4 linked regions of the Arabidopsis thaliana genome follow. The protein of the gene in region 2 interacts with the protein of the main gene of each other region in a pairwise test. Each region holds a gene or a part of one and is shown on either strand. Other genes may lie near its edges.

Evidence for each region.
Region 1: the proteins of AT2G28315 (region 2) and AT4G37220 interact in a protein complementation assay, tested with the Arabidopsis thaliana proteins (one large-scale study listed by BioGRID).
Region 3: the proteins of AT2G28315 (region 2) and AT1G15150 interact in a protein complementation assay, tested with the Arabidopsis thaliana proteins (one large-scale study listed by BioGRID).
Region 4: the proteins of AT2G28315 (region 2) and PERK15 interact in a protein complementation assay, tested with the Arabidopsis thaliana proteins (one large-scale study listed by BioGRID).

What each region holds. Positions count from the first base shown.
Region 1 is NC_003075.7:17,512,372-17,518,909, reverse strand, and holds AT4G37220 (Cold acclimation protein WCOR413 family), read right to left. Parts: upstream 3,869-6,538; 5' UTR 3,805-3,868; coding exon 3,629-3,804; intron 3,540-3,628; coding exon 3,432-3,539; intron 3,351-3,431; coding exon 3,280-3,350; intron 3,195-3,279; coding exon 2,941-3,194; 3' UTR 2,748-2,940; downstream 1-2,747. Other genes in the region: AT4G37235 (Uncharacterized protein family (UPF0497)), read right to left, coding at 509-641, 722-858; AT4G37230 (Photosystem II manganese-stabilising protein (PsbO) family), read right to left, coding at 1,323-1,549, 2,282-2,486; AT4G37210 (Tetratricopeptide repeat (TPR)-like superfamily protein), read right to left, coding at 4,489-4,842, 4,918-5,191, 5,277-5,367, 5,455-5,667, 5,761-5,978, 6,206-6,534.
Region 2 is NC_003071.7:12,085,558-12,093,135, reverse strand, and holds AT2G28315 (Nucleotide/sugar transporter family protein), read right to left. Parts: upstream 4,470-7,578; 5' UTR 4,241-4,469; coding exon 4,120-4,240; intron 4,004-4,119; coding exon 3,819-4,003; intron 3,739-3,818; coding exon 3,671-3,738; intron 3,583-3,670; coding exon 3,450-3,582; intron 3,367-3,449; coding exon 3,205-3,366; intron 3,011-3,204; coding exon 2,741-3,010; coding exon of another isoform or gene 2,732-2,740; exon of another isoform or gene 2,656-2,731; coding exon 2,566-2,655; 3' UTR 2,371-2,565; downstream 1-2,370. Other genes in the region: AT2G28310 (trimethylguanosine synthase (DUF707)), read right to left, coding at 5,248-5,451, 5,541-5,594, 5,685-5,751, 5,846-5,902, 5,993-6,106, 6,184-6,285, 6,367-6,482, 6,576-6,659 and 4 more. UniProt on the Arabidopsis thaliana protein: Nucleotide-sugar transporter that transports UDP-xylose and UMP in a strict counter-exchange mode.
Region 3 is NC_003070.9:5,210,124-5,218,329, reverse strand, and holds AT1G15150 (MATE efflux family protein), read right to left. Parts: upstream 5,856-8,206; 5' UTR 5,657-5,855; coding exon 5,399-5,656; exon of another isoform or gene 5,284-5,398; coding exon 4,739-5,283; intron 4,656-4,738; coding exon 4,569-4,655; intron 4,490-4,568; coding exon 4,433-4,489; intron 4,342-4,432; coding exon 4,103-4,341; intron 3,974-4,102; coding exon 3,768-3,973; intron 3,679-3,767; coding exon 3,607-3,678; 3' UTR 3,288-3,606; downstream 1-3,287. Other genes in the region: AT1G15165 (RING/FYVE/PHD zinc finger superfamily protein), read left to right, coding at 71-213, 350-611; AT1G15160 (MATE efflux family protein), read right to left, coding at 785-856, 955-1,160, 1,294-1,532, 1,636-1,692, 1,772-1,858, 1,938-2,482, 2,598-2,855; AT1G15140 (FAD/NAD(P)-binding oxidoreductase), read left to right, coding at 6,193-6,740, 7,259-7,358, 7,521-7,616, 7,701-7,781, 7,865-7,927.
Region 4 is NC_003070.9:19,468,021-19,476,113, forward strand, and holds PERK15 (Protein kinase superfamily protein), read right to left. Parts: upstream 4,563-8,093; 5' UTR 4,343-4,562; coding exon 4,006-4,342; intron 3,929-4,005; coding exon 3,578-3,928; intron 3,493-3,577; coding exon 3,406-3,492; intron 3,324-3,405; coding exon 3,253-3,323; intron 3,176-3,252; coding exon 3,099-3,175; intron 3,010-3,098; coding exon 2,859-3,009; coding exon of another isoform or gene 2,794-2,858; coding exon 2,632-2,793; intron 2,525-2,631; coding exon 2,231-2,524; 3' UTR 1,800-2,230; downstream 1-1,799. Other genes in the region: RABG3d (RAB GTPase homolog G3D), read right to left, coding at 130-196, 303-448, 527-607, 709-855, 1,067-1,166, 1,260-1,286, 1,377-1,429; AT1G52300 (Zinc-binding ribosomal protein family protein), read right to left, coding at 7,193-7,239, 7,346-7,447, 7,892-8,027.

The sequences.
Region 1 (6,538 bases), on a different chromosome or scaffold from region 2:
CACTCAATTACGAAAAGTAAAGTAAAAAGTGGAGTCTAAGTTAAACAAGAAACATAAAGAACCAACAATATTTGCATAATAAAGATTGGTTGACCCGAAATTGATAACACCGGAACCATTCATTACATTGGATAGCATTATTAGATAACTAAGTTGGTGCATAGCCTAAAAGCTTTATCCTTTAATGGCTAATGTGATTTGGATATCCATCCATTTATCTTTCTTATAGGATATGGTCCACTAGAGATATTATAGTGGGAAAGGATATTGTAGAAAACCTAACAGTATAAAGTTGTGGAATGTATTACAGTTTGAATTGTTATTGGATTGTATTTTGATATCAACCAATCAAATTCTAATCTATACCCACTATGTCAATGTCTATAACTAGTCACAATCAGTTCATTTGGTAACACCTTTTCTTAACAATTGGTTCAATGTTTGACACGAACACAAAATAAATTAGATGAATATAGCTATGAAGGTTTTAAACACAAAGATGACTTACAAAATCTCCAGCGACGATGACAGATATAACTGTTGCTTGCATAGGAAGTTTTTTTACGAGGATTGAGTAAGCTTCCATTAGGGCTAACGTCACGCTCCAAGGTGTCACTAAACCCATGACTGTGACTAGATAACTGTTCCATAACATTCATAGTTAAGTCTCTTGTTTCGACACTTGGTTTCTAATTTTTAAATGAATGATTTGATTTATTACCAGAAGGTGGTGTAAGCGTAGAAATCTTCGTCATCGTTAAAGCACATGAAAAGAAGCGAAGCAGAGGAAAACAGAGTTTGTCCGAGACGAAGAACAAAGCTTGAGCTGGTTCCAAACGACGCCGTTGTTCTTACCATCTCCTTGAACAAGAGCCCTTGTTAACGTCTCTAGTTCTCCTCATTTTCACCTGCTTTGATCTTCCATTACTGGGTTTCGCAAAAGATTTGAACTTTGAGTAGGAGATAAAACAGGGTTAAGAAACAGAGCAAGGGTCCTCTGTTTTTTGAGACAGGGAAGGTGAAAAGACAAAGTGGATGTGACAACAATGGGGTCATAAGGCAAATGGTTTGCTTAATTATAAATCTCTTCTTACTTCTTAACCAGAAATCATCTTTGCTGTTACAAGCAATTATACAGATCTACAAATATGTTATCTTAATCCGCAATAATTAGTCTTTTAATCACAATAATTAGTATCTGATTAAAGCCAAAAGTGCAAAGTGTTACCAAATGGAGTACCACATGTACTATGAACTGGAATCAATATTCCTTAATCATAACAACATTTACAGAAAAAGAAAACAAACAGATTCTCTATGTTTTATTCATCAAGTTGGCAATACCAGATTCCTTGAATCTTGACATCCTTAGGAGTCGTAGCACCCAAATCAGTGTCTGAAGGTTGAATACTCTCGAAAGCACCAATCACTTCACCGCTCTCGGGATTACTCTTTGTTACACTAAGTGTGATCTTGTTGTTCTCCTTAGCTAGCTCCTCATTGTTTCCTCTAGCAGGTAATGCAACCGCATTGTCATAGCCTTGATATTCTATAGAGGTACCTTGTAATACTCCTCGGATTTGAGCAGATGGGCTTTTGGAGGTTGGAATCAAAGGAAGCATCGGATTTGAGGGGGTTTACGAACATTCTCTTGGCTATTTCGAGTTGATTTCTCTTCCAAGTTGTGTCGTCTCCATTTTTGTGGCCGAGCTTTTTGTTTTCACAGCGATGGGTTTACATTGGTTTCGAAATTCAAATTGATCTCGGTTCGGTTTAATTTGGTTTAGAGAAGAAAACCAAAACAAATAAGACACGCGATGGGTTTTTAAGAACGAGGTGCGTGGATTCAAAAAGGCATAAATTTTGTGGATTAATAACCCCTTTAGAAATCGTAGACACGCGCTCAACGCGACATGGGTGAGAGTGGCTGTGAAATCGCACGATTGGTAAAAGTGGGGTATGAAGTGGAGCTCTCTCATTGGCTAAAAAACTAAAAATAGTAGGGAAGCTCCTCCTCTCATATATTGAAAACAATAATAAACAGTGTATCTCTGTGAGTGTAGAAGCACGAATATCATCAGAGAGGAGAGAGGAGCAATCAATCCACTCTCGTCTTCTCCTTTGTTAGCTTCGGAATCTTCTTCTTCTTCTTCAATACAGCTTCGACACTAGAAATTCAAAAGGTCGTTATGAATTTACCTTAGATTTTCTGCGTTTTCAGAGTGAATTTTATTGATTTCTGAATTTTTATTGATAATAATCTGCAGATGTTGTGTTTTACGATCAGATTTATTTCCAACGTGGCCTTGGGTGAATGCTGAAGGGATCGACTTGGGACCAAAGTATCCTCTGCGATGCCACGAGCTGCTTGATCGTGAACAAGAACGGTACACGCTCCCCACCAGGAAGTTGTGTACTGTCACTGCTGCGTAATCAACTTCGAAAGGGCCTTCGATTTCATCGAGTGTGTAGGTAAGGCTAGTCATGAGCTTTGTGCTTTGGAAATCTGGTGTGGTGCTACTAACTACTTGAGCTTTGACGGTGAATGATTACAAGAATATACACTTTTGGATACGAACAACGGCACGTAGTTCAATGCTAGGAGGTGATAGAAATTTGTGTTGCTTTATTGTTTGGTGTTAATGAAATGAAAAACAATTTTCAAAAAACAACTATTAGTCATGATCAATTAAAAAGTCTACAATATTCAAGATTGATTCAACAAATCAACCAATATGCAAATTTATTTATATATCTTACAAGTCACACATTTACAAGAAAAAAAAAACAATCTTACAAGTCAGCAGTGCACGATTGAAACTTCTTTTTTATATTCAAGACTTTCTCAAACACAAATGCTCCTTATAAAATTCAAACCTTGAAAACGAATTGAAGACACAAAATGTTGAATGTGTCTACAAACCAATGGGTCGGATTGACTTAAAAGATGTGAAAGAAGATGGTCCAAACCGGGTAAACGAGGAGGGCAACGATCCCAATGGTATTGGAGATTCCATTCTTTTGAGTAAAAGAGTTTTTGAATCCACCTGAAGCTTTAATGTGTTCATGGAAAAGGTAACATGCTATTACTAGACATATGACTGCTCCAACCCAGCTTTCTCTTAGTGTCCAAGCTATAAGGCTCGGCGACACCACCACAATAAGAATCAATGCTACCGGAATCTCTAGCCACTCTACATTTATATGCAAAAAAGAAAGAAGATTTTCAAGATCAAAGTTTCAAACTAATGTTAAGTCATGAAAACTGCTGGTTCTGACCTGGAAATTCTTTAGGGAAGAAAAGCCTGACTATGATCGCGATGAGAGCAATCCATTTCCCAAAGTCTCCGCTGTGAAATTATATCGAATATGGATTATATTTTCAAAAGAACTCCATAACATCATGTTAAAGAACAGTTTTTCTTGATTACCTAAAGAACTGGAAGATAACCGAAGGAAGTGTGAAAAAGATGTATGGTACTAAAAGGGTGGTCAACATTTTGGTTTTCCAGTTGGTACGATCCAATATCAACAGATAACTGTCAAAGCAAAACAATAAGAACCATCATATCAATATATGATTCAAACAAAAACCAGAGAGGTTATATGGTTTTGTCTTTTGGCTCACATAGCGAAGATTGAAGCGGCCCATTGGAGGACTGACGTGCCAAAACCTACCCCGCCGAGCATCCCTACGTCTTTCACGAGCTTCTTTGCAGCGGCGACGAACTCATTCATATCGGAATTGATCAGGTTAGCCGCGTTCTCCTCAGTCTTCATGGCCAAAAACTCACCCCTTCCCATTTTTAAGTTTTAGTTTGTTTGTGAATGTAGTAAACTCTCTCACATAGCAGAGTATTTATAACCAATCACAAAACACCTTGGCTGTTTGTGACAACTGTTGAATCAGAACGAAAGAAAAAAAAATACTGTTGTGAATTTGGATATTCTAGGAGCTGCTCGCCACGTAGGCTTCGCTGGTGACAGAGATAGATTTGACACGTGGCTTCCCCAAGGGTCTCGTTTTCATAGACAGAGCTTATCTATGATATCTCCAGAATCCAGATATAGCGTAATCTTATTATACTAATCATATTATAAGATTCCAGTTTTTAATTCTACAAGTAGCCTACATTTTTTAATAAAGGATATCCAATTATCCCTTAATTATTACTTATAAAATTCCCTAAAAGATCTCCAAAGAACTATTTCTCATCAGATGATTATCAACTGATAATGTGATAATAAGATTCTGCTTTTGTGCCTAAACTAAAAAACACTTTGAAAAAATAAGACTGATTAAACAAGAATAAAAAGTAAAAAATATCTCAGCGATTTAAAAAAGTAGCAAGTACGGACTCCATTACAAAACATGAACCTGAAAATCTAGTCTTGGAAGATTCATGAGGAAGATACCAAATGTTTTTCTCAGTTTTCTTAGGTTAGATACTTCACTAGTAACAGGAATTTTTATACCTTTTTCCGGTTTCAAGAGGAGTTGCCATCTGCTTTGTCTGAAAACTCTAGAGCTGGTTTCTTTGATGCACTTGATTCAATCGAGGTTGTATTCATCAAAACTCTCTTCACTCCTCTTCCAACAACACCCAAGTGAGTAACACCTGATGCTGCTCCTCCTCCTGCTGCACCGGTATGAGCGGTTGAGACTGTAGGCGACTCTAAATCTTTCCCGAAATTGGTGTTCACAGTTCCCATCCTAGAAGAGCTCATTTCAGCAGCAGCAGGAACAACCTTGTCACTGGCATTTGGCTTAGCTGATACCATGCCCATTAGCTCAGCAAGAACCTGCTTTGGGTTCTCTGCTTGTTGTTTTAAATCCTCAAGCTGCAGAAAAAAAATGTTGGACATTAGTATGGGTTTAGAGATATTTTAATGAACTGATAGGTTTAGTTTACTTGCCTTCTTTTCTAGATCTTCAGCGAGACCAGCTAAGTCTCCGATCTCAACTTCTTTGTCTGAAGCAGATTTATCAATGTAAGGAACATTGGATGATTGTTGGATGCCTTCATCTATTTCAGAGACGGTTGAGGAAGTTGCTGAACCAGATGCACCTTTGATTTCATTACTGAGCCTCTCCATCCGAGCTTTGCATATTAACAAAGCTTTTTGACAATATGGTATTGCTTCCTTAGGCTGACATCCAGTCTCAAGACAAATGCAGATGCGGAAGTTTCTGAAACGTTCAAGTTAAGATATAATCCAACAACTGAATTGACAGAAACGAAAATCAGGTACAATTTAAGAAACCACAAGGATACAATTCAGCTGTGCGTCGACTGTCGGGCTCAACCAGTCTCTCTAAGATGGATAATGCATTCTTGTAGTCAGACAGGGAAGACTCAATGTCCTCTGCATAGTAAACAACAGAACTCAAAACCAACCAATAGCTGACATGAGAAAATAAGACAATGCAAAGGTGAAAGGAAGAAAAAATACCTCTTTCCAAGGACACTTCAGCAAGCGAACAGAGTATATCCACTTTTTCCATTGTCTCAGTAGACTGTTTGTCAGTAATAACCCTAGCAATGTCCAGCATTTTCCAGGCCATATCCAAATCAGACTCATCTTCATCAGCATCACCATCAGCATCAGATAGGTCATCATCTTGACAATCTTCACCATCCTCTCCTTGGTCTTTACCACCAGAACCTATACATGAGGGAGAAAAGAAGTCAGCAAACAAAGAAGCAGAAGCATCTATACCCATAAGCTTAACCTAAGACAATTCCCAATAATCCATACCTTCTTGCCCACTTGAACTCCCTTGTCTCTCTGGGTCACCTGAAACAACAGAAGGAGCCAGCGATTCACCATTGCTGGACTCTTGCTGAACTTCACCTTCTTTCTTAGGCATGTTCCCAAGTGGATCAGCTTCAGCTTGAGCCTTTGCCAGGAGAGCTAATCCATATCGATAGTATGCGTTTATACACTCAGCATCAAGTTCACCATAATGTGCAACCCTAACCATACCATTAAAACAAGCAATGTTTTCATTAGATCCTTTGATAAAAGGACCAGATACTAAAGAATTCAGTCGAGAGAACACACAATTGAAACTCAACTAAAAATTCAGAACCATGATTAGATCATTCGAGCATAAACTAGATTCAGAAACATCTGAAACCCTAAACCCTTGATTGAGAGGTTCTCGACTACAAATTCTCAAATGAATCTCCCAAAAAGATACCTGATTTCGAGAGCACGGCTGAAGCAATCGACGGCTTCAGCGAAATCGTTCTCTTTCAAAAACACAGAGCCTTTCTCCGTCAATTCCTCAGCGAACTCAAGCGTCTTCTCACGCTCCTCATCACAAACCTCAGTAGCAGCACTGTCAGCGGCGTTGTTGTTATTAGCGTCGTTGTTACAAGTCGATTCAGTGCCTCCCTGAACAACCGATTCGACGGTGGCTTCGATTGAGGCTAGGTTAGGTTCTAGGGTTTGCGCAATCTCCGTCGCCGGCTCGGTTAGGGTTTGTATCACCGAAGCTTCCGACGCAGAAGCTGATTCTTCAACCATCGCG
Region 2 (7,578 bases):
TTTTTTGGTGGATTTGGATAAAAGTGCATTCGGGTCATATGGTACAGTCTCCTATTAAATAAATATGGTGCACTCATTTGTTATTAGATAAAATGTTTAGATTATAATTCAGAGTCATGTCATTAATAAAATTAATATTAATAAAATAAATGGCTTTTTGGCAAGACGGATTTGGAGGGACGGGTTTTTGAATCAACATTAATAAAAAAGTAAAATATAATTAATCCACAATTTCAATACGGATTAAATCTTTAATTTATTATATTTTAAGACCACTAATATTAAACATATCAAATCATCCTAATTTAGAAAAGGTTATATAAAACCAAAAATGTTATGTGGTATGTATAATGTTATTATATATAAAATTAAACTATAAAATATAAATGTATTAGAGAATGATACAATTTGCAAAACTTTTATATATAAAAAATAATTCTTAAATTTTAAAAATTACTATTTTTAAAAAAACCACGGGACGGGTAAAGAAATTACAGAACGGGTTTTATTTTGGAATTGGGTTATATGGTAGATGTATTTGAATCAATATTTATAAAATTTTGAAATATGTTTAATATGCTGTTTTAATAGGGGTTAAAACTTAAAAATTTTAACAATTGTCTCATGGATTCGTGGTATAGCGTTACTTAATAACAATTATAAACTGTAAAATATAAATATTTTATAAAATTAAAATTTACAAGTTTTAATATATATTACTTTCAAAAAATGAAGATGGAAAACTGGAGAAATAAATTTATTAGAGTGAATGATGATAAACTTTTTTTTTCCTGTTAATTGAAGATAAATCCTCACCACCTGTGGAGGAGTTCAAAACTAATCTCTGGGTAGATAAAGTTTTTTAAAAAATAGTTCACATGTAAATTTTTGTATAAATCACATATTTAATAGATTTAGCGTGGTACATTGATCATATACAACATTGAAGTATTAAAGTAACTATACTAGAGTAATATTAATTTTTGTACTCTTTTCTCGGAAGTGAGCTTGTTGTGTCTTATTTATCAATGGTTAATGTGCAAATTGCATCAGACTCTTATTAGTATTCTTATCAAATTTTCCAAATATCTATCTTCTCCAAAGTGGATAAAATAGTATCTTGCTTTTAATTTTAAAATACTGATATTAAGATATTATGCTTGAAAACATATGGTTTTAATGGGAAAGTGGCACAATTTTAGATTATATGTCACTCAGTGGCTCAAAAACAAACAAATGAAAAGTCATATAGCTCATCTGGGTGGTTTGTACCCATCAAACACTACTTTGTTATAAACGCTTTACAAGATATGTTATTGGGTAGAAAATCAAAATAAACATATCACAACAAGAGGTAAGACAAAACTCTTGGGAGCTTAATCACATTCACATACAGAAACTACTTATACTAAAATGCAAGCCATAGTTTTACTTTATTTTGCCAACTCCTAAATTAACTAATTCAATATGAGTGGAGACTTAAAAAAAAAAATGGCTAAAGAAAGTGAAACCAACCAACAAAGACAAGGCATAGTCTCTGAAAACACATGGAGACAAAATAGTAATCTTGAAAAATAAGCATTAGCGTTGATCGATTGAGAAATATGTAGAAACGTATCACAACATCGTTGGACAAAAGGCCAAAACTGTAGTAATTTGTAGGAATAAGTCATCATCATATAATTTGTTTAAAATGATTTTTAGTTGGATTGTTGGTTGTTGCAAACAAGTTGGCCTATTGATGAAGATTGAAGACCATTTCTCATTTATTATTATTATTTTTTTTTTTTTGTCATTCGTAACTTGCAAGTCTCACAACCACTAGTTTTTAATTAAAAAAATTATTCGCTTTTAAGGGAAAGTTTCATTGCCAATTCTCTTTGTAGGTCCATAAGACCATAACATAAAAATGTTATACATATACTATTCATGGAAAGATAAAACAACAACGACAACGTAGCATGTGAACAGAGGATGAATTCTCGTAAACGTTAGACGTAACGCACATGTAATATTTAACAATATACATATCTATATGTATATATGTTATAAATTGCATTTAAATTTTTTATATGGAAAGGAAAAATAAGAGCATAAAGCATTTCAATTATTAGAAATTTCTGGTTCCTGTTATCCTAAAAACCGATAATAATTATATGCATATGTCAAATCGCCCATCATTTTTCTTCCATAAACTCAAAAACTTCATAATTTATCACATTTTAATCACCGAAAAGTCCAAAACCGTTTTGAAACTAATTGTATTTTAAACACTATTTAGTACTATACTATTTTATTTTATCTTCTTAATAGAAAACAATCATTTGATCATTTGAAGAACACTAACATAAACCAAAGAACACGTACGAGAGAAAATAATTTTATAATCCTTGTAAGATCCAAAAAGGAGGAAATGAAATAGGAAATGTAAATATAAAAAAGAAGAGAAAATGCCCATTGGCTATTTCAATTTTTTCTCAATTACAAAAACATTATCAATGAATGAACAAAAAAAAGGGACACAATTATAGAGTCGAAACATAAAGAAAGAGTTATTGTACTATTTCATACTGGAGAATGCTTGTCTAATTTCTTGGCTTCATGATGGTTCTCATTTTCTTGTCCCAAAAGCGGCGTCGTATCTCTATCTTTCCCCTGTCAAAAAAGGAATAAAACCAAAGTACTTAGAAACTTTCAACACTCATTATTTCTATCTTTTCTTTTTGTGTGGTTAACGTACAAGAAAAGTGGAATCGGAGGAGGCTTGTTTGGATTTAGAAGCAACTGAGCAGAAGTAGGAGTAGAGAAGCATCCCGAGGACAGCGATGAGTATTCCTGCGATATTACGAGGAGTGAAGGGATCGTGAAGGAGAGTGTAACCAAATGCGAGCACCAAACACGTTTTGAGATGTCCCAAGACTTGGTATGTCACCGGAGATGTCTTTCCAATCACTAAAAACGTACTGAAGTTAACCGAAACCGCTATCAAACACGACAACGTTATGAACCCCTGCATGATTCATCATTGTCAAATTTCACAAAATTTTAGTATCTATCTAGGGACGTTATGATACAATCATGGCTCAACATGGGCACGGCTCTAAGGGGCCATGCGAAAATGGGCTGGACCGATCCAGGACAATGATTCTAATTCTATTTTAACACCAATTGGGAATAAATGGAATTAACGATGTAAAAAATTACCACGACGATGGGAGAGTAATGGAAGGAGAAAACATTGAGGCTAGTGAGGTATTTGTCGACAAAAGGACCCGAGACGAAGAGTATAGCAGCTTGGAACGGGGCTGATTGGTATAGGAGTTGTGTTGATGTCACGTTCAGTCTCTTCTGGATAGTGTTTGTTAGCTTCACCACAACATTTTCATAGTCATATTAATTATACTATGTATTAGTTATTAAACATTAGTTTAATGAAACTTAAAGCATACAATTTGGCCGACGCAAGTTGTGGCAATGGCAAGGAGAGATAGAACAGAGCCAACAAAATTGAGCTGAAGATCTGTGATTGATGCTATACCAACCCCAACTAGCAGCAAAAACAATGAGAATTTTATCTTCTGGCTGCAAAACCAAAATATGTCATTCAAAAAAAAGTTATTTATGTAAACAATAAAAATTAAAATAATCTTATGTATCAAGTTTGGTTCACCTGAACTTCTTGTTGAGGAAGAGGGTTTCTAAAAGAACAGTGAATGGTATGATAGCAAGTTTGGTCATCTGCCATTAGTTATGGACAAACATCAAATTGGTGAATCATATAATTGTTACATGATCAAAAGTATGTCGAAGATATATACTTGATAGAAGCCGATGGAATTAAAGCCGAGGCTGAGATTGAGGAGACCAATGGAAATGCCATTGAGGAGGCCAAAGAGAACAACAGTTCTCATGTCTATTGGTTTATTCTCAAAGAAGTTTAGTTTATATGCCACATGAAGTGTGCAATATGTTACCATCAAATGCCAACTAGTAAGTGTTGTTGCTGTAACAAAACCATAGCAAAAAAGCGATCAATCCTAAGACGAATAATCGGGTTTTTGATAAAGATCTTACAAAATATATTCTCACAAAGCAAAAAAAAAAAGTACTAGTAATTACCAAAAGGGAAACCAAGATTGGTCATCAAAGCTTTGTTGCAAATGACAATGGAGACAGAAGATGCAACTGATAGAAACAATGCTCCAATCACACCCATTTGCATACTCTTCATCTCTCCCATTTTTTCTTCCTCTCTCTCCTCTCAAATCTTCAAATCTATCAAATGAAGAGAGAGAAAGAGAGATATATATTGATGTGAGAAAAAGAGAAGGATTGTGAATGTGATGAGTGATGAAATGCAAAGGTGATATAATGAGATTTTTATTATTTGTTTGTATAAAAATGGTTGGTGTCTAACACCAAACTTCTGTTCTTCCTAATTTCATGTTTTAATAATTATGACATTTACATAATTACGCACAAGATACATGAGAAAAACTATAATGATGTTGCTTAATATTTGTTTTTCCTCATAAGAGACTTCTACTAATGATATGATAGCAAATTCTTAACCATAAAAAAGACTCTGAAATGAAACAGCCAATGGAGGGAGACATTGTATGGTTTTCTATGGACAAACAATTGACTTGAACTAAAAGCAAAAAGGAAGGTGAAACTGAATTTCTCATACTTTTTCTATTGGGCAAAATATTGTAAAATAGAAACTAAAATGAAAATTGAAATTATTTGGATTTGGTGTAAAGCTTCACACTCACTCCAAAGTCCATACCAATACCCTTCTCTTCTCCTTAATTTCTCTACCATTTACGTTACCTATTGAGAGCAAATATAAAATAGCCAATTTATGAAATTGGGTGAAATAGATAAATCATGAAACTGGTTATAAGTCTTGTTTTCTTATTGTCTTTTCAGAAGTCAAAAAGATTATGTAATAACAACCACTTCTATTACACCTTTGTTTTCTAAAGTTTTTTTTTTTTACATGTTTCACTTCTCTCTTGTTTAGTGAAAGCAATTTCTTTTTAAAAACATCTAAGAATTTGAAATGGAGAAAGTAACAAACAACATAATAAAGCTCAATCAAAATGTATAAATCTTACACAATATCAATAAAAAGGGCTTCACACATGTCCTATGAAAACCTAATTTAGTGTAAAATATTTGATATACAAAAGTAAAAGTTTTTTTAATATATTAATTATATAGAAAGAAAAAAGAAAAACAAATCTAATCTTTCACCATCTTCCCAAGATACTCTTTATCAGCATCAGCCAATCGGTTCTGAAACATTGTCCATTCCATTTTGCATCTATCTCTCACTCCTTGCCATGGAGCTTTCCCATTCTCTGACTTTCCTTGACTTCCAAGTGAAGGTATCACTTTATGTATTATCCATTGCGAATCCACAACACCAATCTTCTCATGAGCAGGCTGCAAAAGCAAAACACACAAATTTTCATCATCAGTCAAGAGAATATTGTGTTATTAAGGTAAGCAAGGGGGGGGCAAAAACAACTTACTTCAACGCATCTTCTAAGCGCAAAGTCGAGACCCCATCCATGAACCAGATCATTCTGCATCAGAAACATAAACAAACTGATCAAAACAACAAGCATTATTTTGATGGACTAAGACTAGGACTATGTATCTACAGATCGACGAACCTGAATCATATGCCACACACATCGCCATGCTTCTCGAGAAAATACAGGCGCCATTATTTCAACAAACCTGTGAGAGGGAATTTTTTTCAGAAAACTCAGTACTGACAATGACTAAACACTCTTGAGTTGCTCTAAAGAGAACGTTTCAAAGAGAGACTTACGCGGCACATGGAGGTAAATGTGGGTCTTTACACCATCCTGGTTTCTCTTTTGTATCTCTGTTCAACAGTAAGTAACAACACATTTCTTAATTCAGAACCAAATTTGAAAGAAAGGCAAAGAAGAATGGTTAGAGAAGGAGATCTTACTTATGGACTTCCCGGTCACCTCTCCTCTTTGTCATTTCCCATGTGAGTCCATTGTTAGGCTCTAAGCCTGGTTGAGAAATCTCTAAACCATGCTTCTTAACTAACTCAATGTACCTGAAGTTTTAATAGAATTCCATCACAAAATGTAAAATATAAGATTGTTCTGCTACTTCAGACAAGTAATAACTTACTTATCCGCATTGAAATGCTCCACTCCAAGATCTTCATCCCATATAAATATGTACTCATAAGCTGACACAACATCAGGATGCAAAAACCTCTTCGCGTACCACCTGCCAAAACCAGTAGAGAATTTCGATAAAAACATACTCGACAAACATACTTAATAACCGGTAAATGACCAGATGACTAACCATTTTGTTTGCTTTCTTGTACTAATATGAATCGCGCTCTTCGACCACTCAAATTGGTCCCATTCAGTTGTCCGGCCATCATAATGGAAGAGCAAAATTTGGAAATCTTCAGAAAACTGAAGATATGACAAGAAAACAAAAAATCTGAGTGTATCCACAAAGAATATATAAAACAATACTTGCTAAAACACATGCTGATATTGCAGAACCTTCTTAACAACTCCATTAATATGGTTCCTCTGCTCAAATCCAACTGTAAATGTCACAAGATATTTTGGCTTCTTCTTCAAATCCTGCAAAGGTTATTGTTTTGACATTAACTATTCTAATGGCCTTCAGAGATAAAACCATATATATTGAGAAAGTAAATATAGAATGAGAAGTCAATACTTCATTAGGTTCTCCCCATAATCTACGCAAGTAAAAATCAGTTTTCGCCACAACGATTCCTGGAGGTAGTAGTTCTGCACCACGCGGGTTAGTTGGAACATATATCTGCAATCAAACATACAGAAACGATACATTTCATCTGAAATGAGGCACTATTCTAGAACATAATCGAAAAGCTAACGAAAGGGAACCGAACAAGAAGTTTATTATATACCTCAGGAAACTTTCTTGAACCGAAATCTTCAGGGGATTTGTCACCAGATATGGCTACATCAAGAGATGATATAAGGCGCGAGGGTAAGTTAATCTGCAGGAATACGAAACAAAATTCAACAGGTGCAAAAATGAAAGGGACACATAAAAGGACCTATGAAAAACAAAACTCATACCTTAAACGAAAGTGAAGGTAATGTGATACCAATAAAAGTCCCAAACACTATCCCCAAAATAGTAGTAATAATAACCTTTGCATTTTCATTCGTTCTTCGAGGAGCACCACTGCAAAACTAACCACTAAGTAGTAATCTTCATATTGGAAAAAAAACTCTTTTTTTTGTATTACAATCTATCAGTTAAGGAAATTATACCTGCGGTGCATTGTTCCCATTTAGTTAGAAATATCTCCAAACACTCTAGTCAACAAAATTGAGTCACCCCAAATTGTAAAAATTCAATCTTTTTTCTGCAGTAGCTTCAAAACGCAAACATAATACTTCAGAGAAGATATATATCACAGTGATAACTAATTGTAATACTGATAGCTAAAACAAGGCTACATCGAAAATCAAATTCAGCATAAAAGAGATGAAATCGCAAATAAAT
Region 3 (8,206 bases), on a different chromosome or scaffold from region 2:
TGATTTGTGATTTCTTCAGATTCAGTGTTGGTGATCGGGTAATTGAACTATTTGACAACTCCTGTGACAGCTCTGGTGGAACGTAGTAGAACTTCTTCTAGATCAGCTATGGTGGAGGCGACATGCTTTAAAGAAACTCATTGACTGGGAAAGTGTGGAAGAAGACAAGGGGAAGGATTCCATTGTGGCTTACATCTTGCATCTCATGAAAAAGTACTCCAAGCTATTCAGAAGTGAAATTGTGGATGACAAATGACTCTGGTTAAGGTTGTAATGAACATCGTGTTCATGCGTTTGGGCGCCAACTATCGAAGTTTGGTTCTATCAACTATAAGCTTATGAACAGTAGGAAATCAGGACAGATTTTCATTCCACCAGAAGAACAGATATCTTTGCAGCTTATGCGTGATCCTGTCATTGTTGCTTCTGGACAGACTTATGAACGGGTCTGTGTCGAGAAATGGTTCTGTGATGGAAAACTCTTGCCCCAATACTCAGAAGCAGCTCCCACATCTTTCCCTGACTCGCAACTACTGTGTTACAAGTCTGATTGCGAGTTGGTATCAGCAGAATGGGATCACTGCATCATTTTCTGTCCAAAGTATTTCTGAATAAGTAGGATGAAACTTCATCGAAACAACGATTGCTGAGGGATGTATCATATGGTATTATTACAAAAAAGACCGATTATTCACGGCAAACGCTAGTCTAGCAGTAACATACAACGATTTGGCTGCTACCAAAATGGTGTAACCTGAGGAACAACATATGTGCCCCCGTTATCTTAAAAGGGAAGTTCTGACTCTGTAAGTTCTGATTCATGGGCCACAGCCATTCGCTTCCTCGCTTCACGAGCCTAGAGTTCAAATATGCATCCAACTGAACATCAATATGTTTATTTCACAATAGAAACATGTCATGAAGAAGAAAGAACAAAAGAAAAGGGAAAAAGACCTGGTTTTCCCAGTTTATGCAGCCTGTGACAAGAGCCAGCAGAAGAGTTTGCAGAACGGCACCGGCTATTATTCCAATCCAAAGGCCAACACCTTTCAGATGAACCCAGAAGGCTAAAGATGCAGCAATGGGTATCCCCCAGAGATAGAAAGCTCCAAAGTTTATGTAAGCCCCTATATGCTGCCACCCGCATCCGCTTGCAACACCTGCAAACCAACAAATGAGGGTTAGGAATGGCAGAAAAGAGTTCACCTTTAGTTATCTTTGACTAAAAAGTGCATAACATAATATTCGACACTAGTATATGTTTGAGAAAAGAAATAGGAACAGTTCTCGAACCTGAGAGAACCCCTTGTAAACTGTCCAGTATGAGAGAAATAGAGACCAGTGGAGCCATCTTTGCAACATAGTCGATGGTATTCTTGTCACTGCTGAAAACTTGGCCCAACAGATTCTTACCAGCTAATAGAGACGTACCCACCATCAATGCATCCACTACTGCAAGAGACATTGCCGCGTAGACCACAATATGTGCTGCTCGAGAGTTTCCAGCACCTAATTCATTTGAGATTCTTGTGCTGCACAAGAAACATCCCCTTATGAACATGAAACCATATGATTCCTTGCCATGAACAGCAAGTATGCTTGACCATTTATGAACAGCATAATGGTGGCTCTAACCTTGCTGCAGCTGCAATCGCTAGTGGTATCGAATAAGTCATCGAAAGTGTTTGGAGACTATTCATAGTATAAATAACATTATGTTTTGGCAAATTCATGATTGTGACGAGAGTTAGTAAGATGCAAGGAGGAGTACCAGACAGAGAGCACAGAAGTCTCCAGTTGTGGGTTGGGTAAGAGACCAGATAGTAATATTATGAGTTCATAAGACCACCACTCTAGGCTGCAACACATAAAAGAGTTTCTAACAAAAAATGTAGAGGCAATGAGAAGTGAAAAAGGAACAGAGAAAAGTGATGTACCAAAGCATAGCCGCAGAAGGAAGAGCATATTTGATAAACTCTCTAACGCCCTCGAATATCTCCATGGTAAGCGGTGCACGTGTCTCAGAACAAGCAGAGGAGAAGTACATGAAAGATCCAAGAAAGATGGCATAGAGCCAGTATGACAAACTGAGAGCCAAGGCTCCTCCAATATGATCAAGCCCTGACTTATAAACCAAAAGCCAACAAAGAGGAACATGGAGACAGAACACAACACAAGAGGTGATAAGGAGAGGTGTTATCAAGCTCTGGTTTTTGAAGTAGCGAGTAAGCGGCTGTAGAACAGCGTAAGCAAACAGTCCTGGGATGAGCCAAGCAGCAAATCTTCCGGCTTCGTGTGCAATTGAAGGGTCTTGGCCAAGGATCACGAGAAGCTTTCCCATGTTGAACCATAGGAGAGAGAGAGGGAGACACACTAATGTAAGACAGAACATAGCTGTGTAAGCCTGAACACCTAGTTTCCGATATAGCTTAGCTCCATAGGCTTGACCGCTGAGAGTATCTAAGGCACATGACAATCCCATCTAGCATCAAAAAGTAACAGTAAAGTGATGAGAGGATACAATTTCCATGGTTCTGGTAGCTAGTAAGAGAGATAAGTGCGTCAATTTTAGTGGAAAAAAGGAAAAGGAAACAAACAATGAAGCTGAAGCCAGTGACGTTACAGAAGGAGATGGCGAAGGAAGCGCTAGCGAGAGAGAGTCTGCCGAGGTGACCCACAATCACCATTGTTATGATCTGTAACATGGACTGAGTGATAACCACGGCAGCCATAGGAGCCGCAAAGCATATAAGCTTCTTGAGTTCTGCGGTGAAAGATCCGTCTTGCAGATCTCTCCATGTTACTTTCTCAACTCTGTCTACAGGATCTTTGGTGGTGCTCTCTGCGTCTTCCATGGCTAGAGAGACACTAAAGAGAGAGAGTTGAAATTTGAAACTGAAAGTGGTGTGAGTGAAGAACTACTGTCTGCTTTTTGTGCTTTAGTACGTGTTGTTCTTTAAGACTATGTACATTGCCACATTGGTGTTTTTATACAAAACCATATTTTTCATTTTTGTAACACATAATCGTCACTTTATTCCACCTATTAATTCAACATTTTAATATGCTCTCTGCGTTTTATTTTTGTGGCGTGATTACTGATGCTGACTCTTGGCTCTCTGCGTTTTCTTTTTTTAATATGCATTTTGCAAACTATATTGTCATCATCGTAAGAAAGTTTGAATACATAAAGCAACGTTGTTGGTGGTTATATTTTTCTAGTGATAGTAATATATGTGTGATCCTGTCATTATTACTTGTGGAGACACTTGTGAAGGTCTGTGTCGAGAAACATTTTCAGTGATTGAAAACTCTAGCTCCAAGACTCAGAAGCAGCTCCCACATCTATTTCCTGACTCGCAACTACTGTGTTACAGGTATAAGCGAGCTGGTATCAGCAGAATTGGATCACTACATCATTTTCTGTCCAAGGTATTTCTGAACTACCAGAATAATGCTTCATCGAAATAACGATTGCTGAGGGCTGCTAATATTACAAAAGAAAAGACCAATTATTCACGGCAACCACTAGTCCAGCAGTAACATATAACGATTTGGCTGCTACAAAAATGGTAAAATAGGAGGAACATCTGTGTCCCTGTAATCTTAGATGGGAAGTTCTGACTCTGTAAGTTCTGATTCATGGGCCACAGCCATTCGCTCCCTCGCTTCACGGGCCTAGAGTTCAAAATGCATCCAATTGAACATCGATATGTTTATTCCAAAATAGAAACATGTCATGAAAGACAAAAAGCAAAGGAAAGGACCTGGGTTTTCCAGTTTGTGCAGCCTGTGACAAGAGCCAGCAGAAGAGTCTGCAGAACTGCACCGGCTAGTATTCCAATCCAAAGGCCAACACCTTTCAGATGAACCCAGAAGGCTAAAGATGCTGCAATGGGTATCCCCCAGAGATAGAAAGCTCCGAAGTTTATGTAAGCCCCTATATGCTGCCACCCGCATCCGCTTGCAACACCTTCCAACCATCAAACGAGGGTTAGAAGAATGGCAGAAAAGAGTACAACATGAACAGGCATGACAACTTGGAGCTGTATATTCGACACTAGCTTATGTTTGAGAAACGAAATGGGAAAAAATCTCGAACCTGAGAGAACCCCTTGTAAACTGTCCAGTATGATAGAAATAGAGACCAACGGAGCCATCTTTGCAACATATTCGATGGTTTTCTTGTCACTGCTGAAAACATGGCCGAAAACATGCCTGCCGGCTAATAGAGACATACTCACCATCAATGCATCCATTACTGCAAGAGACATTGCCGCATAGACCACAATATGTGCTGCTCGAGAGTTTCCAGCTCCTAACTCATTTGAGATTCTTGTGCTGCACAATGTACTTGCTTATGAACATGAAACCATAACAGAAAGTATACTTCAGCATTTATGTACTGGATAGTGGTGACAAAAGCTCTAACCTTGCTGCAGCCGCGATCGCTAGTGGTATTGAATAAGTTATTGAAAGTGTTTCGAAACTGTCCGTAGTATGAATAACATTATGATTTTGCAAATTCAAGATTGTGACAGGAAATGGAAAGATGCAAGGATGAGTACCAGATAGAGAGCACAGAAGTCTCCAGCTGTGGGTTGGGTAACAGACCAGAAAGTAATATTATGAGTTCATATGACCACCACTCCAGGCTGCAACCCATATATAAAAGAGTTTCTAACAAAAAATGTGGAGGCAATGAGAAGTGAAAAAGGAACAGAGAAAAGTGATGTACCAAAGCATAGCCGCAGAAGGAAGAGCATATTTGATAAACTCTCTAACGCCCTCGAATATCTCCATGGTAAGCGGCGCGCGTGTCTCAGAACAGGCAGAGGAGTAGTACATGAAAGATCCAAGGAAAATGGCATAGAGCCAGTATGACAAGCTGAGAGCCAAGGCTCCTCCAATATGACCAAGCCCTGACTTATAAACCAAAAGCCAGCAGAGAGGAACGTGGATACAAAACACAACAGAAGAGGTGACGAGGAGAGGTGTGATCAAGCTCTGGTTTTTGAAGTAGCGAATGAGCGGCTGAAGAACGGCGTAAGCGAACAGTCCTGGGATGAGCCAAGCGGCATATCTACCAGCTTCGTGAGCAATAGCAGGGTCTTGGCCAAGGATCACAATAAGCTTTCCCATGTTGAACCATAGGAGAGAGAGAGGGAGACACACTAAAGTAAGACAGAACATAGCTGTGTAAGCCTGAACACCTAGTTTCCGATATAGCTTAGCTCCATAAGCTTGACCACTCAAAGTATCTAAGGCACATGACAATCCTATCTATCATCAAAAAGTAACAAGAAAGTGAGGAGAGGATGCAATTTCCATGGTTCTGGTAGCTAGTAACAGAGATAAGTGCGTCAATTTAGAGGAAAGAAGGAAAAGGAAAACAAACAATGAAGCTGAAGCCAGTGACGTTACAGAAGGAGACTGCGAAGGAAGCGCTAGCGAGGGAGAGTCTACCGAGGTGACCCACCATCACCATTGAGATTATCTGTATCATGAACTGAATGATAACCACGGCAGCCATAGGAGCCGCAAAGCAGATAAGCCTCTTGAGTTCTGCGGTGAAAGATCCGTCTTGCAGATCTCTCCATGTCACTTTCTCAATTCTGTCTACCGGATCATTGGTGGTTCTCTCCGCGTCTTGCATGGCTTGTGAGAGAGAGTTTGAAAGTTGAAACGGAAAGTGGTGAGTGATAATCGTGAAGTACTACTGTCTGCTTTTTGGTGCTTGGTTATGTGTAATTCCTTACCAAGGGAATCTATAGTGTAGTGCCACTTGGCAAAATTCCAAAACCATGAATGAAATATATACGTTAAATTTGGCTCAACGGTAGGGAGTGTTCATTGATAATGTACTCTTACGTTTTTTAATATGCATATTGCTTGTCACTTTTCTTCCACAATTCTGTCTTTTAATTACATGATTTGGTGTTTTTTCTTTGAAAGACGAGCTAGCAAAATTAAATGAAGAGGGAATGCAATTTTCGAAGTATCACAACAAGTGGTCGGAAAGTAGATAGAATGATATTTTGATCATCCACGTGGCAAAACATTGTAACGGAAGGAAATTAGGTGCATAGCAAAAAAAAATAACACAATCGTGCCACCGAACCAATCGGGCCGCCCTTTTCTACCGCCGGCTAAATTTGACGGTCACATATAGAGCCCCAAAAACTCTCCACCATGTCCACTCTTCCTTTCGCGCCTTCTGTCACCCATGCGCACTTTAGCCACTCCCTCTCCCCCATGTTTATCCTGCGCCATCTCCCTCTTACACGCCATCTCCGTTTATCCCGAAATAACCGCGTCGCTTCCGTTGTATCCGCCGCCGCCGTTCGCCAGGACGCTTCCCTCTGGACTCCAGCTCCTCTCTCTCTAATCGAATCAGCTGCAGAATCGCTTTTCCACATCTCAATCGACATTTCAAACGCTCCGGATCTCGTAGCTTCGTACACGAGACCCGGTCAGTATCTCCAGATCCGTGTTCCTGATGTTGAGAAGCCTTCTTTTATGGCAATCGCTTCTCCTCCTTCCTTGGCGTCTTCTCGTGGTGCTTTCGAATTCTTGGTCAAGAGCATCGCTGGTTCTACCGCGGAGATTCTCTGCGGGTTGAAGAAAGGAGAGACCGTTGAGCTTAGCTCTGTGATGGGTAATGGTTTCAATATCGATCTGATTGATCCTCCTGAGGAATATCCCACCGTTTTGATTTTCGCCACTGGATCTGGAATTAGGTGAGAGCTTTTTCCATTTTCTCTCCTACCTTGTTGGATTGCTGAAGTTGTCTTTTTTACTTCATGTATTCAATGATCCAAGTGTGGTCTAGTTTAAAGGTTTCAGTGCAGAGCATTAGCTAGATACAAAGCTTTCAAACTCAAGTATCTTGAATCTAGTTTAGTTACTCATTTTGCGGTGAATCCTCTGTGATGCCGGGTTCAATTGCTTTTTTGTGGACCTTTTTTGTGAACTCCAGTATGATTTCAATCTATCCAAAGGTGCCATGGACCAATTTTGTGGCTATTTTTTTACTGTGATGATGTTGTAATACTGAAATAGAGTTTCATGTATGAAAGGTCAATGTTTTTATGACTTTGGTGATCGATCAGATCTGTTGTTTATGCCAAGTAAAGGTGTTTCTTTCAATCATCTATTGTTCTAGGCCTGGTCAATCAAAAATGTTTAGTGATGGTGATGTGAATTAAGTAACTGTCTTCAATTTGGAATGTAATCTCACATGTTCTTATCTCTGCAGCCCCATCCGCTCACTAATCGAATCAGGATTTGGCGCTGATAGAAGATCTGACGTAAGACTCTATTACGGGGCTAGGAACCTGAATAGGATGGCTTACCAGGTTTGGTTCTTTCTCTCAGTTGTTTTGCAATTCATGATGTCAGTAGATATAAATGTGTGTGCTTGAATTATAAAAATCTTTTGATGATAAGCGTAAAGCCTATCTCTCGCTCTCATTTTGATCTACAGAAGAATCATCTTGGAAACGCTCTTGATTTTGTAGGAAAAGTTTAAAGAGTGGGAATCAGCGGGTGTCAAAGTTGTGCCGGTATTATCACAGCCAGATGATGGGTGGAAAGGGGAAACTGGATATGTGCAGGTGAGATTGAGAAACGTGCTCCTTAGTCAAGTCTGCTGTAACTCAATGTGGATCAAACTAATATATACATAATGTGTTGTATAGGCTGCTTTTGCAAGGGCTAAACAGCTATCAGCTCCCAAGGCCACGGGAGCGGTGCTGTGCGGACAGAAACAAATGGCTGAGGTATGCACTGTTTTTGTTTATGAGAACCTAAATGCTTTAGAAGATGTGTATCTTTATCATTGTTTCGATTTGTATTGTTGCAGGAGATAACTTCAATGCTTGTAGCTGATGGAGTCTCAAATGACAAGCTGCTCAAAAACTTTTGACAGATATAGTTCTTGTATTATCGTATAATTTTACTGTTTCTTCACATCATTATTCTTTTGATACGAAAGTCCTCTTCAAGGCCTCTCTAATTCATAAACACACAGAATTTTGTAGTCCCTTAAAAATTAATACTACTGTGTTGATTGTCACCACAACATTCTTTTTTGATTAGTGATCATGTTAATGTCCATGCTCTATATACTTTGCATATTTCTTCTACTTTCAATAGAAAATTTCTACATATACCAAGAAGATTTATACCAAAAAATATTGTGAAT
Region 4 (8,093 bases), on a different chromosome or scaffold from region 2:
GAACCCAATTCATTACAATCTGTAACTCAAAATGAATCTGAAAATACATTTCTGGAAGTTATAAATATATTGTTACAAAATCAAAATGTGCCAAACAAAACAATGTATCTGCAACAAACTTTTGCTTGATTAGCATTCACACCCTGTTGATCTTTGTTGCTGACCTCCGGCAACATCAATGGTGTCGGGAAGGTACCTACGAGAGGTATCAGAGACGGTCAGAAGATAAGACTACGACGACTTGAAGTGATGCAAATTTGCCAAAAAAAAAAAAAAAAGCAGTAAGATATGTTTGTACTTACGGTTCTTCTTCAGGTTCATTCTTGAAAGCATTTTTGGTAATGCATTCGAAAGCCGCATCTACATTGAATCCTTCTTTGGCGGAAGTCTCAAAGTAAGGAATGTTTCCTTTAGATGCACACCATGCCTTTGCCTTTTTCTCAGAAACCTGACAAATATAGGATAACTTTAGCATAACCAAACTCTAGACACTTAAGTATTTCATGAAATGAAGATAACGTCTCACCACTCTGCTCTTTCCACCATCAACATCAGTCTTGTTCCCCAACACAACAAATGGAAAGTTTTCAGGATCTGAAGGACTAGCCTAAACAATGACACCACAAAGAAGCATTTGGTTTATAGCAATACAATTCTCAAACTACAAAGTTCTATAAGAAAGAAAAAAACAAAGAGGATTAGTGTTACCTGAATCAAGAACTCTTCCCTCCAGTTATTAAGATTATCAAAAGATTTCATAACATTGACATCATAGACAAGAACACAACAATCCGCTCCTCGGTAAAACGCAACTCCCAAACTTTGAAATCTTTCTTGTCCAGCAGTATCCCAAATCTATATAATGTACCAAGAGATTGTATTAGTAATAGTTCTATAAATCTCTATAGACAACCAAAAAAACACTGTATCTTCCTAAGAAGCACACAAATTTGAACCTCAACAAAGAAAGATTTTGACTTTTTCTGCATTATAAACCCAAAAAGGTAGGAACCTAAGATCCAATCACATTCTAAGAATCAAAATGTTTGATTGATTCAAAGAATACCTGTAAAGTGAAGATTCTGTCATCTATTTGAACCTCTTTAGTCAAAAAATCTGCTCCAATCGTAGCTTTATACTGATTACTAAACTTTCGATTCACAAACCTATCAAAATAGAATCAATCAAAATCAAATTTCATAAGGAATTTATCAATGTTCTAAGTAAGAGACACATAGATCTGGATTTCAGAAACATACTGATTCATCAACGAAGTCTTCCCAACACTGGCCATAAAAAAAGAATCAAAATCTCATCATTCAATGAACAAATAAAACCACATCAAATCTGAAATCTGAAGAGATGAGAGAATTTACCCGCTATCACCGAGAATGATAACCTTGAGAAGAACTCTCCGGCGAGAAGACATTGACGGAAACTTTTAGGGATTTAGCTGATTTGGTTTTTCTTTTCAGCGAAGAAACTGTCTCTGTTTTCTTCTTTCACAATCTCTCTCTTTTGGTTCTTCTTCTTCGTGTGATTTACAGAAAAAGTATATACTGTATTAGCTAAATAACAGCAAAGTTACTATTTTAAAATCTTTTATTTTCCCAAAATTGCCCCTCCTTTAATTAGTCATTAACTAATCTTATTATAAACAATTTAAAAAATTAATTAATTATACTTGAAGAAATCTTCAAACGGTCTAATTATGTTTACTTTATCAAATGTTTTGTTAATTACCATTGACTTATGTACTAACTATACTAATAATTACTCCTTCAACCAAAAATCAAACACCATGCTTATAAAAATATTATTTCTCTGAATCTAAAATCGGTTAATATATATATGGGATTTCATTTGCAAAAAAAAAAACAATTTCTTCAAAGTTGCATGGATAACAAAAGAAAACATGCTTTAAAAAAAGAATCAAAGATGTTAAAAATAACTTTCCACTCAAATAATATATCACGGCCAAAAAATAATTAAGAATCATAAAGTCTTTGATTGAATCTAATTTAATATCTTCACACCAAACTCAAAAAAATCTCCAACAAATAATATTCACGTGCAATATCAGGCTCATGACAGTTTCGATTAGAGCCACACATGGAAATAATTAAAAGTGAAAGCGCGTCTAATGAATAATGTGTTTTACACCTAAACCTACGGGTCCTACCCCAAAATGATAAGACTTAACTATTACCAAGAATCCTCTGTTTAAAGTTCATGTGTCCTTGGTATTCTTCTCCGGTTCGATCTCCTGCGTTGTACGTTGGCCTTCGGTGATACTAGACGAGCCTGATGGGTTCTGACCATTGTCGCTAGTCAAACCACTGCATTCGCTGCTACCAAATGTTTTGCTTTCGAACGCCATTTTCTTGAATTTCTTCAAGTCTTCTTTGTATTGTGTTGAGCTATAATCTGAGCTCCCGTCTAAGCTGTAAATAGTACTTTGTCCTGGGGCAGCTCCTTCTGTTAGGTCATCTATAGATATATTTCCTTCGAATGCTCGAACTATCTGCAATTGTCCAAAGAACAATGACACCATTGAACTCACAAAGTTTCATTTTTTATCCTAGTGTTAGATTGAATGTTGCCAAAAGGTTTTGATGTGATAGTTAGTACCTGGCTCATTTTTGGGCGACGTTTAGCTGAATGACGGACACTAGCAGCAGCGCAAGCAACCATTCTCGTCATTTCGTTGATATCAAAATCATTCTCTAACCGCGGGTCAACAAGACCGTCAAAGTTTCCATCGTTTAACGCTTGTATCATCAGAGGTTTTGCCTAGAGCATGAGGTAAAGTTTAAAAGCTTATTAAAAGTGGTGGTAAGGGAAACAAGATAACCAACCCAATCAACGATGCTATCATCATCAGCAAAAGGCTGTGATTTATCAACAGGACGGCGTCCGGTTATCAGTTCAAGAAGCACCACTCCAATTGAGAAGACATCTGATTTCTCAGTAAGTTTCCCTGAAGAAGCATATTCAGGAGCCAAGTAACTGCATCACAAGAAAGAAGTTTAAAAGATTGTTAGTATGTTATGAACTTATTATGGTTATGGTTGCGTATAGAAAAGAGTGTTTCGTACCCGAAGGTTCCCATAATCCGAGTGGAGACATGAGTATCAGTGTCTAAAGAAGACCTGGCAAGTCCAAAATCTGCTAACTGATGAACCAAGTTCAGCATTATTAGTAGTGCAGTCTAAACAACATTTTTATATAGTTTTACAAGTTCAAGAATACCTTCGCCTCATAGCTATCGTCAATTAGAATATTTGCAGCCTTGACATCGCGGTGTATTGTCTTAGGATTACCTGAAACAAAACAAAATCTCCTTGACAAAAACTTCAGAAACTAATGTTGTACAATACTCAAAGACAAGAACATTATACTCACAATCTTCATGTAAGTATGCCAATCCTTTAGCTGCACCCAAAGCAATCTTCATCCTCTTTGACCACTCCATTACCGGTCTCTCTTTCTCTACAAAACAACCACCATAATTCAAACAAAACTGCGGGAATTCACGCAAGCATAACTGAAAACAAGTCTTTTAAAAAAAACTCACCGTGTAAATGAAATTCGAGAGTCTTATTAGGCACAAACTCATAAACAAGCAATCTTTGAGCACCAGTGATACAATAACCAAGAAGAGAAACAAGATGCCTATGATGAACTCTACTAATAGTCTGTATCTCAGCTTGAAACTCTCGTTCACCTTGTCCACTTCCAGATTTAAGCTGCTTAATAGCAACCAAAGTTCCATCAACAAGAACTCCTCTATGAACATAACCAAACCCACCTTGTCCAAGAAGGTTAGTGTTGGAGAAGTTACTAGTTGCTTTAGACAAATCTTCATATGTAAACAAGTTTTGTCCAATCTCTGATGAACTCCATTGCTGAAGATTATTGCTATCATCTACAAAAACAGAGGAATTGAATAATCATTAAAAAAAGATTGAGTCTTTGGAAATAAAGAAACCCTAAATAAAGTACCTTTGGGATCTAGTGAGTCTCTGTTAATAGAAGCTTCGATATCTTCTTTCTTCTTCTTCTTTAACTTCCTCTTCTTTCTTTTATAGAAACAGACAAAGATACAAACTCCGAGTAGGACAAACGTAGCTCCGAGAACTACTCCAGTAATAAGTCCAGTTAATGCTACATTTCTCGAGCCTCCATCAATGTTTGTTGTTGTCTCCGGAAACGGAGCCAACGAAGAAGGTCCGATGATGGATGGCTGAGACGGAGCTGGTGACGTCGCCGTGTCTGGTGTGGTGGAAGGAAACTCCGGCGCCGGTGGAGATGAGAGGGAAGGGATAGTGTCGGTAGACATTAGATCAGAAGATGATGAGGATGATTTGGTTTTTCAGGCGTGTGTGCAGGTTTTTCTCATGGCGGAAGTGAAGACGAAGACGAAGACGAAGAAGACGAAGACGAAGGAGAATGAAGAAAGGGACATGCGGTGGGTCCCGTCCCACTTGAGAGATTTGTTCTTCTGGCAAGTGTCTCTTTAATTCTCTCGTCACTCTGTTTCTCAGTTAGTCAGTTAACACTTACCAACCATCAAAAGAAGAACTAATAAAGAGCCAAATTCATCTTATGTTTTTTATTTAAAAATATAATCATTAAGTCAACATTTTTAAAATAATAAAATTTACTAATGATTTTTAGAATCTTTAAGAAAAATTTACCATATAAGTCAACTTTTTTGCTTTTTTTTTTTAAAAAAAAAATTTTAAAATTTTTATACACAATTTTTTATATGATTTTGGATGACTCGATACAATATGTCAAATTAGAACTTATTTTATACGGACTAAACTAGCCTATATTTTCAAGTTTGACTAATTTTAGAGAAAAACTAGTCCAGCCAAAAAAAATTAGTCTAGTAAATATTCAATTCGATCGGATTTTTTTGCAAAAAATAAAAAAATAAAAAATCGATGGAATCAAATTCCGACTTTCTAATCCACAGTAAAATTGTTTCGGAAAAATCCGATTTCATGAAAATAATTTTTAGATCTAATTTTTATGGTGTTTTTATAACTAAAATTTTTTTAAAACTATAAATCAAATTTATTTTGTAAAATTAATATTATAATGTATATAGTAAAATTATCTAATCAAATTTATACTTACTACTGTATAAAAACAAGCACGACTACATAAGTATATTCACATTGTCTTGTCTGCCATTAATTTTTTTGTCTTTAAAAGTAAAAAAGAATCAAAGGGACCAACAAAAGATATGAAAAAACATACTAGTACTACTATTTACCGTGATCTTTGGTTTGTGGATTGTATCTCTCCCTAAGGTACCCATCAAGTTGAGAATTATTGAATTCTTTGAACAACTAATTCCACATCATTTTCCAAGTATTGTATCTTGGTATATGCATTCTCCTTCTATTTTTTGTTTGCTCAATAAATTGTACGCGGTGAAGCCAGCCAGATACCCGGTTTATTAACCAATCCTATGCTTCCGGAGTTTTTTTTATGTTAATCATTTACATAATAAAAAGAAAAACAATTAATGTGGTAGGGTACGGACGACAAGTAGGTAATCAATGGAAGCAATTATCAGGAACCATATATATTTGACAGAAGAAATATAATAACCGAAAACAATTACGTTTTCACAAGGAAAAACACAAAACGAAATCTCATCCAACAATGTTTTCAAGACAAAATCTGTGAATCAAGGATTACTAATAATGGAAATCCATTGCTTTGTTATGCATCAAAAAAATTTATATAGATTTGGCAATGCAATCTCAAGATCATTTTAATGATAAGGTTAATTGGGAAAAATAATCGTATTTGTCTTTGGTACGAATAGAAACCAAAACAACTTCGAATTAAACCATATCAAATTTCAAGTCACAGCTCAATAGTAAATTGCAAAACAGCAAACAACACGAACCATTTTGTGATAACCAAGAGTCAACAAAGAAATGCATTTTTTTTTTTCTTGGGTTTCACACAATGGTTGTTTTTGTTGGTTCTTTATAGGTTGAGTTATGCAAAATAATTTTTGTTACGTTCAAAACGAGGAAGAAAAAAAAAATTAGGTGTGGTGTGGTTCAAAGAATTGTCATCCAGTGTTAAAAAAACATTTTTTACATAAGTTTTTGTAGAATATTTGAGAAATTTCATTTTTAGAATATCCATTTTCAAAACTACTCTTACCTTTTATACATTATTCTACTTCGCTTGTTCAAAACTAATCACACCCTATTATTTAATCCGCTTATTCTACAATTCGCTTCGCTATCACTAGATCAAATGTATTTTAGGTTTTAAAGAAAATAAATGTTTTCGATGTTTTGTAACGATCACTTAGGTTCAACCAAATACATACCACATTTTTAATTGGTCACAAAGATACATATTATAGAACTCTTAGCATATTATCCTTGATTAAGCAAATTGCATGAAAAACATTGTTGGTGTCCATGGAAATTCATAAAATCAAAGCATTCATGCAGACTAAGACAGTAAGACCACAATCGCAATCCGTCAAGGTGACCCAATTATCATCGTGGACGAGGACACTGAAGTGTAGAAAAACCTAGATACGAGAAACCCATCTCTTCAAGTCTTCAACTCATAAGCTCATCTCCTTACCTTTTAAGATCAAAAGCCCATATTTTCAGTTCACAAGTCCATTTTCTTCGTTCATAAGCCCATCTCCACAATTTAAGTCTACGAGTCCGACTTCTCAGCTCTAACTTCAAGTTTATAATGATTTCAAAGATTTTCTGTTTGATATTATGTTAATCTTAGACATATAATTTCGACACTCGTCTCAAAATTTTGGCTGCAAGACATAGTATCATATTATACATATAGAAACACCATAATTCCTATGAGCAAATTTGCAAGCAACTCACCTTAATTATGAATGTTAGTGAACCTAAGAATACGTATTCGATATAAGTGGGCCGTAGAGTATAATGACTTTACCAAGTCTTTATCTGTCGGACGGACACACCACTGGCAAGGAACCATAATGATTAGAATAAAGAGAATTAAAAGACTTGCAAATTGAAATCCATCCATGTCCAAAACTTTAAAAACGCAAAGACCACACAAAAAGATAGTCATAATCAGACACTTAAGAGTAGTAATCTTGTGAACAACAAACTCAGAATTCTCTCTCCCTTGATGCTCAAAAACAAGTTTAAGCTGATGAAGCAACTCCCTTGTTCCTTGGCTTGGCTTCGGTACCTGGAAAACGTCCAACAATTAAATTATACAAAAGCCATTTCATACAGATACAAACTGATTAACTGAAAACCAAAGAAAACTCAGTGGAAATGGTGGAATATAGTACCCTCTCTGAAACCGGTCTTGAACCTGCGAGGCACATTGCGAAGATACCTCATCCTTCCAGTTCCAGTAGTCTTTCTACGGATTGCCTTCACACTCCAGTTGTCTACCAACATCATTATACACATCAATTAGAAACAAATTCACAAATGGCATATAAAAAATTCTGAGTAGAAGACAGTGCCATTTACATGAGAAAAAGAGAAGTTTCACTAAGTTATGTAAATTCTTACTAAAGTTTATATTCGACTAGAACCATAGTAATTTCAATTACACTCATGGTTTATACCGGACAAGAGCCTAACTATGCATAACAATACACTATTGTTCTTATTCGATATATGGGATTCATATGCATTAGGAAGCTCTAGAGAAATAACGAATCCATACAAAGACTTATTCAATCCCTAACCAAACCCTAATTCTGATAGAGAATCAATGGATCTGCAATACTAAAACATATAACGAATTGAAACGAAGAAATGATCTATTTCGGCTAAATCAAGCGAATACGAAGCAAATGAAAGAGAGAGAGAGAAGAGATTCGTACAAGTCCTCTTGCGAGCGGCGGGATAAGCACAAGCAGAGCAACGACTCTTCTGGATGTGGAAACTGCGACGGCCACATCTGACACAGAGTGTGTGACTCTTGTTTCTTCTCTTTCCGAAACTTCCCGTTCCCTTAGTCTGAGAATCTCAAAAACAAAGCGATAAAACAGATATCAGAGTAATGAAATCAACGAAGCATAGAGA